Bombyx mori: one gene and its partner. The protein of the gene in region 1 purifies or fractionates together with the protein of each later gene. This does not show direct contact. Links are inferred from orthologs where the notes say so. Each region holds a gene or a part of one and is shown on either strand. Other genes may lie near its edges. The genes, in order: protein phosphatase 1 regulatory subunit 12B and serine/threonine-protein phosphatase PP1-beta catalytic subunit.

The links.
Region 2: the proteins of protein phosphatase 1 regulatory subunit 12B (region 1) and serine/threonine-protein phosphatase PP1-beta catalytic subunit purify together in Drosophila melanogaster (affinity purification with mass spectrometry; 3 studies listed by BioGRID, with this or other methods). This does not show direct contact. The link is inferred for Bombyx mori from reciprocal best matches to the Drosophila melanogaster genes Mbs and flw.

Annotation. Positions count from the first base shown.
Region 1 is NC_085107.1:4,000,453-4,010,630, forward strand, and holds the end of protein phosphatase 1 regulatory subunit 12B, read right to left. Parts: intron 5,267-10,178; coding exon 5,111-5,266; intron 3,614-5,110; coding exon 3,530-3,613; intron 3,364-3,529; coding exon 3,265-3,363; intron 1,721-3,264; coding exon of another isoform or gene 1,634-1,720; 3' UTR 1,599-1,633; downstream 1-1,598.
Region 2 is NC_085124.1:8,354,003-8,358,278, reverse strand, and holds the start of serine/threonine-protein phosphatase PP1-beta catalytic subunit, read right to left. Parts: upstream 2,801-4,276; 5' UTR 2,534-2,800; coding exon 2,485-2,533; exon of another isoform or gene 2,373-2,484; intron 2,125-2,372; exon of another isoform or gene 2,008-2,124; intron 1,240-2,007; coding exon 1,108-1,239; intron 1-1,107. UniProt on the Drosophila melanogaster protein: Required for cell adhesion in non-muscle tissues and in maintenance of muscle attachment. Vital for larval development.

The DNA of each region.
Region 1 (10,178 bases):
ATATTTATATTAGTAATTTGAGATATAATTTAATCGCAGGAATTCCGACGGTTCACAGTTTAAAACACGCAAATAAATAAATAAAATTCTGGTAACGAATTCATGTTTCGTTTTAATTATTATTTCCTATTTTTTACTTCAAAGGATCAATTTTATTTTCTGTACAAGTATTTGAATTTCATTATCTAATTTGGTCGGACTCGCGTTTGCTGTACAAAAGTGTGATGACGACAAAATTCCCGCAACACACAAGACTACGAATACGGGGGGGAGGGGGACATGTTAACCTAACCCCCCACCGCCCCCCAAAAAGGTTCACAATTAAAACTAACCTATTATAACACTTACGTACCTCAATTTAGGAATACATCGATAACTATCAACACGAATATGGATACTTCTAGAACGATTTCGTATGAACGTTTACGTTTAAGCTACATTATTTCATATGATTAAGAACTACGAATTTAAATCGATTTTGGGGCCGCCGACATATCGTTTTTGTCGATCGATCATTCCCTTATTCTTATTATTATCGACGTCACCGATTACAAAGTGCCCGTAATACATATAATATAAAATAAGTACACAATAAATATTTCAAACTGTTGACAAAAAATAAACGTAAGAAAGCGCATCAAATTTAAATAAACGAATCGTAAAACTATCGATATTTTTCATTGTTAATAACAACTACATGCATTAAATACAAAATGGGACACCGAAAAACCATCCGTATTGTGTATGTATACTTATTTGTACATGTAACAAGTGCATGTAGAACAGTGAATTATAATGTAATTTTTTTTTTCAAGCAAAAAAAAAATAAACAATAATTGCAAAGATTCAATTTTAAATACAAATCCATACATATACAAAGCGGTTAATTATTTCGCACAAAAATAATAAAATTGTAATCGTAAAATTAGTAAGTATACCATTTCGATTACTAGAACTTACACGTTTGCTTCGTATCTTACGCGATTTTAATATTAAAGTTTATATAGATTGCATTTTTTTTTAAATTATAAATAAATTATCGTTAAACAAAATTCGTAATCATTATGCATAATCCACACTGTATAAAGGGGGCCGTTCCAATAAATTCATCTTCGGAACTTTGCTAATAGCAGGAACTATGTTTTAGGCACAAATCATTATAATTAGTAATAGACAACGAAGAAATAAACGCATTAGCAGTAAGTAATATCGATGCGCACACGTGTTCATACGCCGCAACTTGATTCCAATACCGATTACATGTGCGATCATAATATAGTATATATAATAACAATACGACAATAATATAAAGTTTGTAAAACCTTCGAAATTTTAAGAATATGTAAAATTCACAATATACGATAAAAGTTACAGTTTGCAATGTTCCGAGGGGATGCGATCAGAGACGTACATATATATTTATTACATATCCGAATGAAAACGAAAAAGAATCGATGTTATGTACAATGGTGTCGATCACTCGTAATACATGAAGTTTATGGTTTCACGCACTTGTTTCGTATTTCGCGTGTAAGTAAATGTCCTAAACGTTCGGATTGATTCTGTCTAATAGCGGCGTTGTTTGTGAGGGAGGTCAGTTTGTCCGCGAACATTGGCTCAGCGAGCTCGAGATTCATTTGGACAGCTTACTGATGACTCTGATCAACGCCCCGTTCTCGTCCTTCAGCCGCTGGTTTTCGGCCTGCAGTGCCTGTTGATACTGAAAACGTCCATTGTATAATCAATTGCAAGTATCAAAATATTTAACGGAAAAAGAAAAAAACTAAAAAAAAAAACACGATAAAAAAAATCGTCACCTATTTATAAGAATCGATAATTCAATATAATATATTTACATGAATTTATAGTTTCGACAAGGTGATCTTCCCAAAAAAATTGATTTCAAACGAAATTAATTTCAAAAATTTTATTGTAAAATAATACAAGATTAAAAACTAAAAGCTAAAACACAGTATGTACATGATGCGCTACGCTTCGGTTAGGATGTGTACCAAACTTTATAGTAATAAAATTAAATCATTAATCGGGTGTGATGTGTGTGCGTATTAAGTGTTCGATCAGAGTGTCGATGTGTACTTCGTTCGTTAGGTCGATTGACGTTTTAATTGTAATAAAAAATAACTATTTTAAAGTACTTATGTACGTACATTATTCGATACGTTTAAAATCTGGGAAATGATTTGATTCGTTCAACAATTACGGGAACATTTCATGCAACACACGCTAGCTCGTTGCACTACGTTGTGTTTCATTTCAATTTCTTAATGAGGTAATAAATACCACAAGAACCTATTACCTTTCATCACCTCTACTGTTTTGCCTGAATCACATTACAAAACAAATATCCCTCACCGACAGTAGTAGTACTAAACATTTAACGTACAATCAAAACTAAATTTGAGACGATTTAACAAACCCTTACGTAGTATATAATATTATATGTATATACGTTAACAAAACAGATATAATAAAACACAACGCATCCGACTTCGTCTACGTTATTGGCTTGAATGCGAACCGAATAGCGCATCCGGGAACACGCGTTAGTTAAGACAGACACGTACGAAAGCATGCTCGCCATATCACACGGTTAATTCACATCGTTATATGACGTAGTGGGGATCGCGACTGGTACGGTCCACGGACCACGTGTACGAAACTAGAGGACGACATCTCGCTTGCAACCACCCGATCCTAGAGTTAGTGTATACGTCTCCTAACCTAACATGACCTTAGTATCAATCATATATCTTGAAGAAATATTAAAGCAGTTAGAATTTACGGTCGTCACTTGCCTTTTCGGATTTAGCAAAACAGCCTTCGAAAACTAAATATTTAAATATATATATAATTCTGTTAGAAGAAAGGGAAAGAGAGAGAGAGAGGGAAAGAGAGATGGGGGAAAGGGGGATAGAGAGGGAGGGGGAGAGGGGATAGAGGGGGAGGGGGAGAGGGGAGAGAGGGAGGGGAGAGAGGGAGGGGAGAGAGAAAGGGAGGGGGAGAGAGGCAGGGGAGAGAGGGAGGGGGAGAGAGGGAGGGGGAGAGGGGGAGGGGACAGGGAGGGGGAGGGAGGGGGAGAGAGGGATATTAAAGAAAAAATTGAGTGATTCAAAACTAAGTGTATTTATAAATGACGCAAGAATTATTCTGGTAGGATTGCAAGCGAGATGTTTGTAGGTGATACCGAAACAAGCCGTGCGGCGTCGCCACTGGAGCGGGCGCTCAACAAACGTACACAGTTACCTATTTGGCGGCAGAGTTGGTCAATTTGCTGACGACACGCGTCAGTGCACGGTTCTCTGCCCTCAGCCTTTCGTTCTCGGCTTTTAGTTTTTGCAATTGCTATAAAACATCAACATTGATTATTGTTATCTGCGGCTGATGTGCGGCGCCATCTTGACGAACGCCAATTTTTGCAACTCTAACCTACATATATATATATTTATAATGTGTGGTGTAGGAACAGTGTTCGATATCGTTCGAAAACAGTTATTTTGTGATTCGTTACCTTCAGCTCTTCTTCCATTTCCGATAGTTTTCTTTCCATCGCTCTCTTTTCCCGTTTCTCGATTTCAGATAATGAATTCTGATTCTGAGAACAAAACAAAATTTCATATTATCAAATCACATTAATACTGTGAATCGTGAACCCGTAGTTTCAAAATAATATGACCTTCGCTTCGAAATAACAGCATTAATTAGACACATTTCAGAAAGTGAATCAGTACTTTGTAATATGCCTTATGTAAATATATACCTACAAAATATACTAATTGCATCAGCTTCGTTAATGAACGCCGAATATATCTTGCAAGTCATTTTAATAATCATTTTAATAAATAATTCGACAGCTATTGTTACGGTCATTGCATACTCGTGCAATTTACGATTGGGCAATTAATTACATTCTGCATAGCATTAAAGAATTTAATTATTTTTTTAATATATTGCACAATTTGTTTACAATTTGACGTGTCGAAATGAAACATCACGATAAATTCAATGAAATTTTTACGAGTATTGAAAATCAAATTTTATTTAATGATTAATCACATTTATGACACGTAAATACTGCAGCATATAATGCATTGAGTCAGATATCGGATATTAAAAAAAAATGACCTTGAATGGTCTTCAGTAATTGGAATATATTATATCCAAATTAATTGCTCATATAAGTAGTGATTCACGTCTAAAACGATATCTCCTCTTTCGTTAAATGATAGACAGCTGCGGGTGCGTATTCGCAATGCGCATCATGCATCCATGCTGTGTCTATGTATCGCCGGGGCAAAACATCTAAAATTGACAATGTACCTACGCAAATGCAAAAAGCGCGGCTGCCAAGTTGTCATCTACCTTAAGCCGATAATTACTTACGAAAATCACGCCGCACTACATAAACAAACACAAACCACACTAGGTATTTATTATATTTGGGTCCGTGTTCCAATCTTCTTCTTTTGTCTAAAGCTGATCACAACATCGTAATGATAACACACAAATCTACGACCAATACTAACACAATAAACAAAAGCACGTTCGCAAGTTGCAGCAGTAGGTTTTGAAAGGGTGGTTTGTGCACTACGCATTTATCGTAAGATACAGACTACAAAATAAAAGAATTGAAAAGTAAATTCTATTTGAAACAAAACAGGGATTCTAAAGCGCTGCGAATTTCTTTCGTACGTTCCAATTCTAGTTTTTAGTGAACGGTTCATGTGAAATTTACTTAAGGAAATCTAATTGATTTATCGTAAATCATACTCTTAGTATGACTGCCCTCTAGACAGTTGCGGATATGCATGAAATGGTTTTACAAAGAAACTTTGATCGGAATATTTAAATACATTCTTAGGCATTTTAGCAAGATTTTAAATCTCAAAAATATTTAGTCAGGATTTAAAATTTTAAACTAAATTATGAACTTACAATTCGAAACAAAAATTTGTAATTAGCCGTTCGGAAATTGCAATTCTTTTGAACCCTCCAGTTTCCTACGGGATTGTATGTAATCATTATTGAACGCAAATCACAGAGCAGGCGAATGAAACAATCATGCACACCGACATCAAAGTACATGTCATACCACTTGCGTGAGCCTTGCGATGGTGGCGCGGGCCTCGCGTAGCTGTTGCTCTGAAGTCGTGAGCAGTGACCGTAGACGCCGCACCTCGCTGGCAGACGCTTCATAAAGTGCTTTGTAGTCTCGCTCTTCGCCTTCCTCGGTACGTTCGCTTCCAGACTAAAACAATAGATAAAAAAAATCGTTGAGTATGGTACGGTGGTAGGACCTCTTGTGAGTCCGCGCGGGTAGGTACCACCACCCCGCCTATTTCTGCCGTGAAGCAGTAATGCGTTTCGGTCTGAAGGGTAGGGCAGCCATTGTAACTATACTGAGATCTTAGAACTTATATCTCAAGGTGGGTGACGTGGAAGACGTCTATGGGCTCCAGTAACCACTTAACACCAGGTGAGCTGTGAGCTCATCCACCTATCTAAGCAATAAAAATAATAATGTGTATATCATTTTGAAGTCGTTCAATTTGTTCGACATTTACACACATGGATATGGTTATAACTTGAATGCCGTCTCACTTCTGAGACATACATGTGTGGCTCGAGGTCTGAATGGCGACACTTTACTTCTACGAAACCACGTATGGTAAGATACGCGAGTTTGACTGTCAGAACAATTTTCTCTTTGCATGAATAGCCTTTATCGAGTCGGATGTAGGACAAGATATTTCAGACGCTCCACAACCCTTAACGTCTTTCAGGCCCATTGAATGTTTGATTAGAGACCAGTGAAGGATGTTAGAAGACAACATGGTGGTCGTCGACGACCGCTGATTGAGTTAACGAAACTTGCGTTAACCTCTCTTGTCCTGTCACAATTCCACCTCAGCAGCAAAGCAGAAGCGGGGACCAAAAACCAAGAGTGGGGTTTTTAAATGGGCTTCAACTTCGTCAATTCAATCTCACGGCAAAAAAATCGTAAGTTAAACTCTTCTATTAATCCGAAAATCCATGTATATCATATCACACGAAATATTCATCATATATCGGTAACTAATCCCGTTAGAAAATAATTAACTTGACATTAATAAGTCATTGATATGACCTAAATGTTTCTAGAGACAGACGCTAATCTAATATGAAACAGTAATTCGAATACCCTGCCGTCTCGCACGGTATTAGCCTTGAACGTATGTGTAGTTAAATGAATTAGTTAGTTAATAAAAGTTGCTAGAAATTCTGATCCGAATATCAATAGCGGTTGTGTGAAATAATTTTATTTACTTTTAATTTCTCCTATATTATGGACACTAGAAATACGTACGAGATAGAAATAACGACACCCGAATGCCGAGTATCAAATATACTTTGCAGAGATACTGGTTCTGACCGAGCATCCAAACGAGACACCGTTGTACAATAGTGAGTCACTCGAGAAACGAGCCGATTTCTGTGAATATACTGTAAATTCCGTAGACAGGTATATAAATCAATAGATACAGTTATAGCCGATCCTTACATAGACATTACCAGATATTAGATTCCAACATAAATACAAGCCACTCCAAACTCCATCGATAATTAGAAGACCATCTTCAGTAGTGGGACAACTGAGCCTCGGGATGAGCGCTTTGTTAGCCTAGCCTGGAGCCCGAGTAGAAAATGATATATGATAGCCATATTATGATAATACGATCAAATACATAACCTCATCACGACTACTTTCATTCTCAGGTAGCATATAGCCACGACCACAATCAGCCCTAACACCGAATGTAGCGCATGAGATAGGAATTAGCAGGGTAAAATAAACACTGAAAACAAACAGAGAGTTTGAATTTATTTCCCGAGTATATTAAATGTAACCGGCATTTAGACAGCTGATGAGCTGGGCAGCTGAAGTCAACAAAGAGGCCTTCGAGAGAACAGACAAACATTACTGACTAGAGGCTACAATTTTGACTACGTGGCATAAGGTTAGTGTGCATCGTAAGTCGACGTCCCCCAAAACACGTCATTTCGGATCACAGACACAGCTCACGGATCTTCTCAGTTTCACGTATTTGGTTCCTTCTGCGGCAGGGGAAATTGCGGTGCAGGTGGGACTGTTAAGATGCTAGAGGCCACTTATAAACGACTCCCCTGGAATTTCGCCTGAATGTCCGGTCCCCGCCCGAAACAGAGCCCGGGAGAAGTAAGATATTACCACAGTCAATACTACGGCCATACCCGCGACTCACACCAAGTATCTCAAAAGATGAAGTCGTCGGAGACGAATTGATGTCTTCGCCGGCCTCATAGTACGGCAGAGGCCCCACGGTGCTGCTGGTGTTATAGAATACTCCAATGAACCAGAGCCGCGAAACACAGCCAATAAGTCGGACTTCATAACTAGTATAGCGCGCTAGTGCTAGTAGCCTCCCGGTCGCTCCATGGTCTTAATTACCGGGAGAGGCCGCCTCCTTCAGAGTCTGGGACTATGCAAAATCCCTCCTCCTTCTTCGGAAAACATCGTAACATCGTCGCTCCCAACGGAGACACGGAGGACGTATCGATCGAAACAAAATATTGCAGTTGCTTGTTCAACGTTTGTTGCAATTCTGAATTGCTTCCATTAAATTATTTTACAACTCAAACCGGTAGCTCGAGTCTTATTGATTTATTTTTTTAATGGATAATAGAATTTTATGATTGCATAGTAAGTGTCCAATCATTACTGGTCCTAAGCCACGAGTGCCTTTACAAATGTGCCGCGATCGAAAAATCATGATCTCTAGTTAAAAAAACGAAATAATTCAAATTCTTTACATCATTTTATTCATGATGTTGTTTCTTAATGTCCCGACTAGTAATAGAATGATACTTTGTCTTTTGTCATAATTATATGTATCGATGCTATACAAATATCGATATGCGTGTTATTAATACGATAATCATTGTAATAAAATAAACCAACACTGGTGTATGAATTTATAAATTTTAACTGTTTAACCAGCTAAGGACAGACCACATAAATATTCACCCGCCTTCGCAAAACATGATGGATTGGAGATTTAAAAACTCATGTATACACGTGTTTCGTGGAAAAGTGTATATTTCGCTATATTGTAATTTGTTTAGGAGATTTGCGAGTTCTTTGATGTGTGTCTAGAAAAAAAACCTTTTTTATTTGTACTTCTGGAAAAAACCATTTTCTCTTTTGCTACAAAAGAAATGGAGTTCATTGTGTTTGATATACATATATGTTAATTATTTTATTTTTAAGTTCGTTACACCCTTATACGCCTACACAGTTTCAGTTACATTGTTCTCAAAATACTTTTAAGGTTTATTTGCGTTATTTGCTTCTTCGTTTTATAGTTTTCGAAGTTTTCAACGGTTAACGGTCGTCGTGGTCGTAAGAAGAGTGCTGCACATGTCGGCGCGAGGGCGGTATCGAGTTACAATGAAACTCTTTGATATAAAACTCTTGGAAATAGAACTTTACCATGATGTTGCCGCTTCACAATACCGACCACTTGCAACTTTTTTTTTTTATGTCTGACAATACATTCTAAGCTCAAATGACATTTATGTTAAAAATATGGGATTCTATTTTCTAATTAAGTCGTTTTTTATTGATTAGTGTTTCGTTTTCGACGCGATAAAAAATACGACTAATTATGCCATACAAGTTCTGTTGCGGTAGCAGTACTACACAAGCGGTTTACAAAATTAATAACATGAGCGCTATAAACGAACGCACGACACATTATTGGTTTGAAGGCTTCCGACATGGAAATTTTGATTTAAATATGAATCCAGTGGTCACGCGAAAACTAAAGTCAACAATGACGAAACAATGGTAATAGTGACAACTGACGATAGTCAATCTATCGCTGAACTAACTCAGCTACTAATAGCAGCTTTTAACATCAAGCTAGCATCAAAACCATATTGTTTCATCTGCATTGTCACTTGATTATGAGAAATGGATTCATTTCGATAGTCGTAAACGTAACGAGGGTCTGGTTCAGCACCTAGGAAATGCCTCAAACGAAAACTTAACCCTAAAATGTCATGGTCACTGTTTGGTGGTCTAGTGCCGTTATATTTCATCACAGCTTCTTACCGAATAGCACCAACATTACTGTGGGTGTGTAATGTGAGGAATTGGACACAATTATGGAGAAGCTCGCTCGCTCGAAAAAAGTTAATATAAAATTTGTTATTTTTATAACGGCTTATTTCTTTTTTGATAATTCAATCGATGAAAAATCGATTATTTCTTCTCTTTACAACCCAAATAAATAAAGCTATGTTCAATGTCGGTTAAATCATCATAGACATTTAACGTTGCTGACGGCACACGCTCGATAAATTCACGAGTCACTAATAAAATAGGTTTATGGAACTTTTCTTGATGAATTAGTTCACTTCACATAGAACGTTCCGACCATTTTCATCTTTCTACAAGATGATTTCACCTAGTTTACGAAATAAATTCAACGCGCTCGCGTGTAAACAAATCGTATAAATGTAATCGCGGCTGGGTAAAATATTTGAGAATCCATGGCGTGGGGCCAGTTAGATACTTGGATTTCGGGGATAATTTACTTGCGTTCTTTATAATATTATTTCGTAATCATAGATAAAATATTGTAGTCCTAGTTAGTTAATTTCTAAAAGTACATACGCAATATCCATCTGAAGCTAATGAGTTGAGACTCAATGACCGAGATCCGACGCCTCCGACAGTCTCTAGAGAGCCAAGGGATCGAGACTTCTCCTTGTCGAGTGCGGTGGCAGGCTTGTTGGCGCGGGGTTTCCGTTCAGGTCGTACCGGTGGTATCTCCGGAACGGGCTCTCCAGGCGCTGATTCTGTCACTTTAGCTGGCGGAACTGGTTTTGGCTTGAAATTCTTTTGGCTGGCCAATAACTTTTTGTCCAATTTTTTTAACACCGGAGTCATTAAGTTCAGAGATCCTAAAGTCGCGCCACTCAAATACACACCGCCGTAACCCGAACTTGTCCCTCCATAAATGCTGAGATTAGAAGCCGGACGACCCAACCCCACACTGTAAGGGTTGTAGTTTCTGTACGTACTCGGAGTATAATTCGAATAATTATTCGCGTATGGGCTGTATTGACCACTTAGG
Region 2 (4,276 bases), on another chromosome or scaffold:
TATAATTATTGTGTTCTCATCAGTCCTAGATACACGTACAAATTTTCAAATTGATCAGAAAACTCCAGAGGGTAAATATTATGTTGAAAGATTTAGTTACATGAAGAGAGAGTGAGTCAGTGAGTGAGTGAGTGAGAGAGAGAGAGAGAGATATATAGAAATATACCTAGATAGATACAGATAAAGCTAATAAGAACAATACTTTATAGATAACTTTGAGTATAAAATCTTAGCAAAAAGTAGGAAGAAGTGAGACACAATTTATTTTATGTTTTTTTTTGTGTGGCACTTATGGTGCATCATGTATGCATGCTGAGGAAAAAAGTTACTCTTTCATAATTTCATAATGAGAAAAAGGGAGGAGAAAAAAAAAACTTTTATTTATATTAAAGACATTTAAAAAAAGGTTTGTATGTTTGCTCTCTGTGGGTCTAGAGCTGGCTAGATTGAAAAAAGTGTGACAATAAAGAATGACACCAAACACTGACATCTTTTCTGATTCTGATCTGATCTTCATCTGATTTTTGAGGCACTTCCCGAAGACCTAGGAAACTGAAACTTCTATTTTCAATATTTTTTTCTATTCATTCAGGTTGGCATTAATTTTGAGAATATGCATTTATTTTACATATTTTTAATAAATAATACTGATTTTTTTTTGTTCACCAATATTCCCAAAAATTTTCTGCAATACCACGTTTATTCACATTTCATTTACATGCATGATTCCTTTGCAGGAGGTACAGAGAGGATTGTATTAAATGCTAGGGCTAGGTAAGTATGCCCTAATACCACCAACTACAGAATTGTCTTGCAGATAATTTTGGATAATGGTTATTCTATTACAGCTCAGGGAATGATTCCAATACTTATTTTAAATTTTATGCTTTAATACAGGGTGTATTAAATCATAAAAGTTAAATAAACATAGTATGAATGAAATAACAAACTTTGAAAATAGAATTTTACTTTTGAAAGTAGCTTAGGTTCATGAAATTAAATAAGCTAAATAATTATTTTTAAATCTCATTGTTACTGGTGTAAGATATTTATATTTCATTAAGAATGTTTTTAATTTAGTGAAAAAAAGAACTTTTAAGACTTTACCACAAATTTTGAGTGGTGCCTCCAACTCCAGTAATATGGGCTGCTGCAGGAATATTTCTCTGGACTTTGTGCAGAGCCCACGTACCTCTGCCTCCGACATTTGCACAGTCTTGCCAGGCCTGCATCCTCGAACTAAGGCAAAAGTTTGAAGTCAGAATAATAAGATTTATTAAAAATATAGATTTGTTTAAAACTGTAGTACAACTAAAAGCAATTAAGCACTCTTAGCCTTTTTTTGTTTATAATTTTATTCTTATAAGTAGCTAAGGAAGCATAGTTAGTATAGTTTTCAATTTAATTTTATAAATTTAATTGAATGGGTTTCAGTTTGCTAACTTCTAACTCAAAATAAACAGAATGCTTTTCATAACACAAAAAACATTTATCAAATGCAGGGGTTTTATTAAATGTTATATTTATGACATGTAAGGCATGCAGACATTTTCATGCAAAATACAATTTAACTACCATTCCTAGAATGAAATTTGATAAGAATCTAACAAAACAAAATGTATTCAAGTATTGATAAATTTATAGGCACACAAATCAACAAGCACTCCTAAACACTAGCACTCAGTATCAAAATTGATCACCAATATAATCTCAAAAAGTTATTAATTTAAAAAATTTGCAAGATTAAGATCAAGTTTTTATCTAAATTAACATTATACAGCTGTAAACACAGATTGCAAGACCTTCCTATAAAATGGTTTAGCGATCATAGTTTGTATATACTTGTGGCTATTTTTAGATTCAATTGAAGAATGAGATGTTGATGGGTAACACATGATATAATTATTGGGAATAAACTTTCGGTTAAGACTGATCACTAGGGTAGTAAGAAATAAACGTTCTAGCTGAATACTCTGGCAAGAATTTTGAATGTGGCCATACATTCTCCTGAAAAGATGTCTTTCAATTTGCCTTTCTTCCTTGCAGTTTCTTGTTGCAGTCTGTATACTGTTGTAACCCATCAAAAAGCAGCACAATAAAGTGAAATGTATATGTTTGAATCAAGTAAGCAATGCGTAACACTAATAAAAGAACAATAAGTTTGTGAGTGTTTAAATCTATGGAAGTCTGACATCATTGTTCAGGGCTAAAATCTAACAACTATTGTTTATACGTAAATCTTCCCTTCTAATTGAAAAATAACATATCCAAGGCATTTAAACATTAACAGAAACGCTAATATGCAGCCTGATAAGAAATTAAGGATAATCGATTTATTTATGAGGTTGACGTTTCTATGCCTTCTTATTCAGAAATAATTACGCAACAAGGACCAGCTGAATGAAAACCCAATATTATCAGACTTGCAACTAGACGTCTGGTAGTTAAGAGAGGCTCACAAAATCGTAACAAATTGCATTTTACCTTCCAAAAGTCTGTGAATTAGACTGTCAACATTTAGTTCGTCAGCCATATTTACTACACGAATAAATTTATGTCAAAAAGTCAAATGTTTTTTTCTTCCTGTTTGCTCTTATTGTTTGTGGTTAGAATTACTCTTCATAATACGCAGAACTTGTAAAGAAGTAAATAGGAGAACAATTTTATGTTTAAAATGGTTTTTATCGTCGCTTCTCATTTATTGTGTTTCATGGATAGTTACTTAACTTAAAAAATGTCCATTGGTAGACACAAAACGTTAAAATAAAATAGCATTTGAGTAAGTTTCAGGTACATTCCAAGTACTGCAAAATGATTCGTATTTGGTTTTTAATCGGTTTGGTTGGAAATATACATATCTGCAAGAACGTTTTGGGTTCCTAGGTGAGACGTATAATTTTTTCCTGTGTTTGTTTGCTTATCGTTTCCATGCTGTTGATTTATTAAGTATATATAAGTAAATTAATATATAAAAGTATATTGGGACCTATATAAGTGATTATGGTGATTTCATATTGTGTAAACGGTCTAAGCATATATACTATTTATTGTATTGTGTTTGAAGTCGTCGTGGCCTAAGGGATAAGACGTCCGGTGCATTCGTGTTGAAGCGATGCAACGGTGTTCGAATTCCAGACGGGTACCAGTTTTTCTAATGAAATACGTACTTAACAAATGTTCACGATTGACTTCCGCGGTGAAGGAATAACATCGCTGTAATAAAAATCAAACCCGCAAAATTATAATTTGCGTAATTACTGGTGGTAGGACCACTTGTGAGTCTGCACGGATAGGTACCACCGCACTGCCTATTTCTGCCGTAAAGCAGTAATGCGTTGCGGTTTGAAGGGTGGGGCAATGAGCTCGTTCACCTATCTAAGCAATAAAAAAAATGTATTTTTTTCCTTATTAATCTATTCTTAATAGTACACCGCAACATATACAATACTGTATCTTAATATTTTGAGAATTTCTGTAAATAAATCGGTTGTCTAGAACAGATCGCTTTTAGTAATAAGGTCGCATAATGTACAAATATATCTACTTGTTGATTCTTTTTTAATGTTAATTGTGTTTTGGCGTGCATTAAAGTATATTCTCTCGAGAGATCACTTTCCATGAAATTTAACATTATCGGTGCCCATTCGTAAATCGTGCTCTATTCGCTTCAAATTGAAATAAAGTAAAATCAGCTGAATTATTCAATTAGTACCTTTTTTACTCATCGTTTCTAAAGTTGTTCTAAGCATTAAAATGAAGTATTCATCCGATAATATTTTTAAACTACTACTCTAAAAACCATCGAACTTGGAGTCGTTGCGTTTCCAGAGATGTTTTTTCCACGTACCATTCGGCTCGATATTTAATTTGCCTCTACAGTGTTTCCCGAGTATTTCAAACTGGGCTTGGAATGAGTTTGGAATGGTACACAGCGCTTGGACTAGCATGTTGAGACAAACTTGAATATTGCTCTGCTTTGGAAGGCTTAATAGATTTATTAAAATATTACAATTGACAGCCATACCGGTATAAGTTGCAAAAACAGTTATTAGTTCTGTAGTAGAAAGCTCATTCTATATAATCTGATACAAAGGTGTTATAATTTCATTAATTTTCTCTAAAATTAATCGAAATCAAATTCACAACTACTTTTAGATTAATAAGTGGACAAGTTTATTTTTATTTTTGGTCATTGTATTTTTTTTTGATATTTTGTGTTTTGAGCCATCGACTAAATTTGACTTTTAGGCAAAGACAACACTTGTTTTATTTTTAA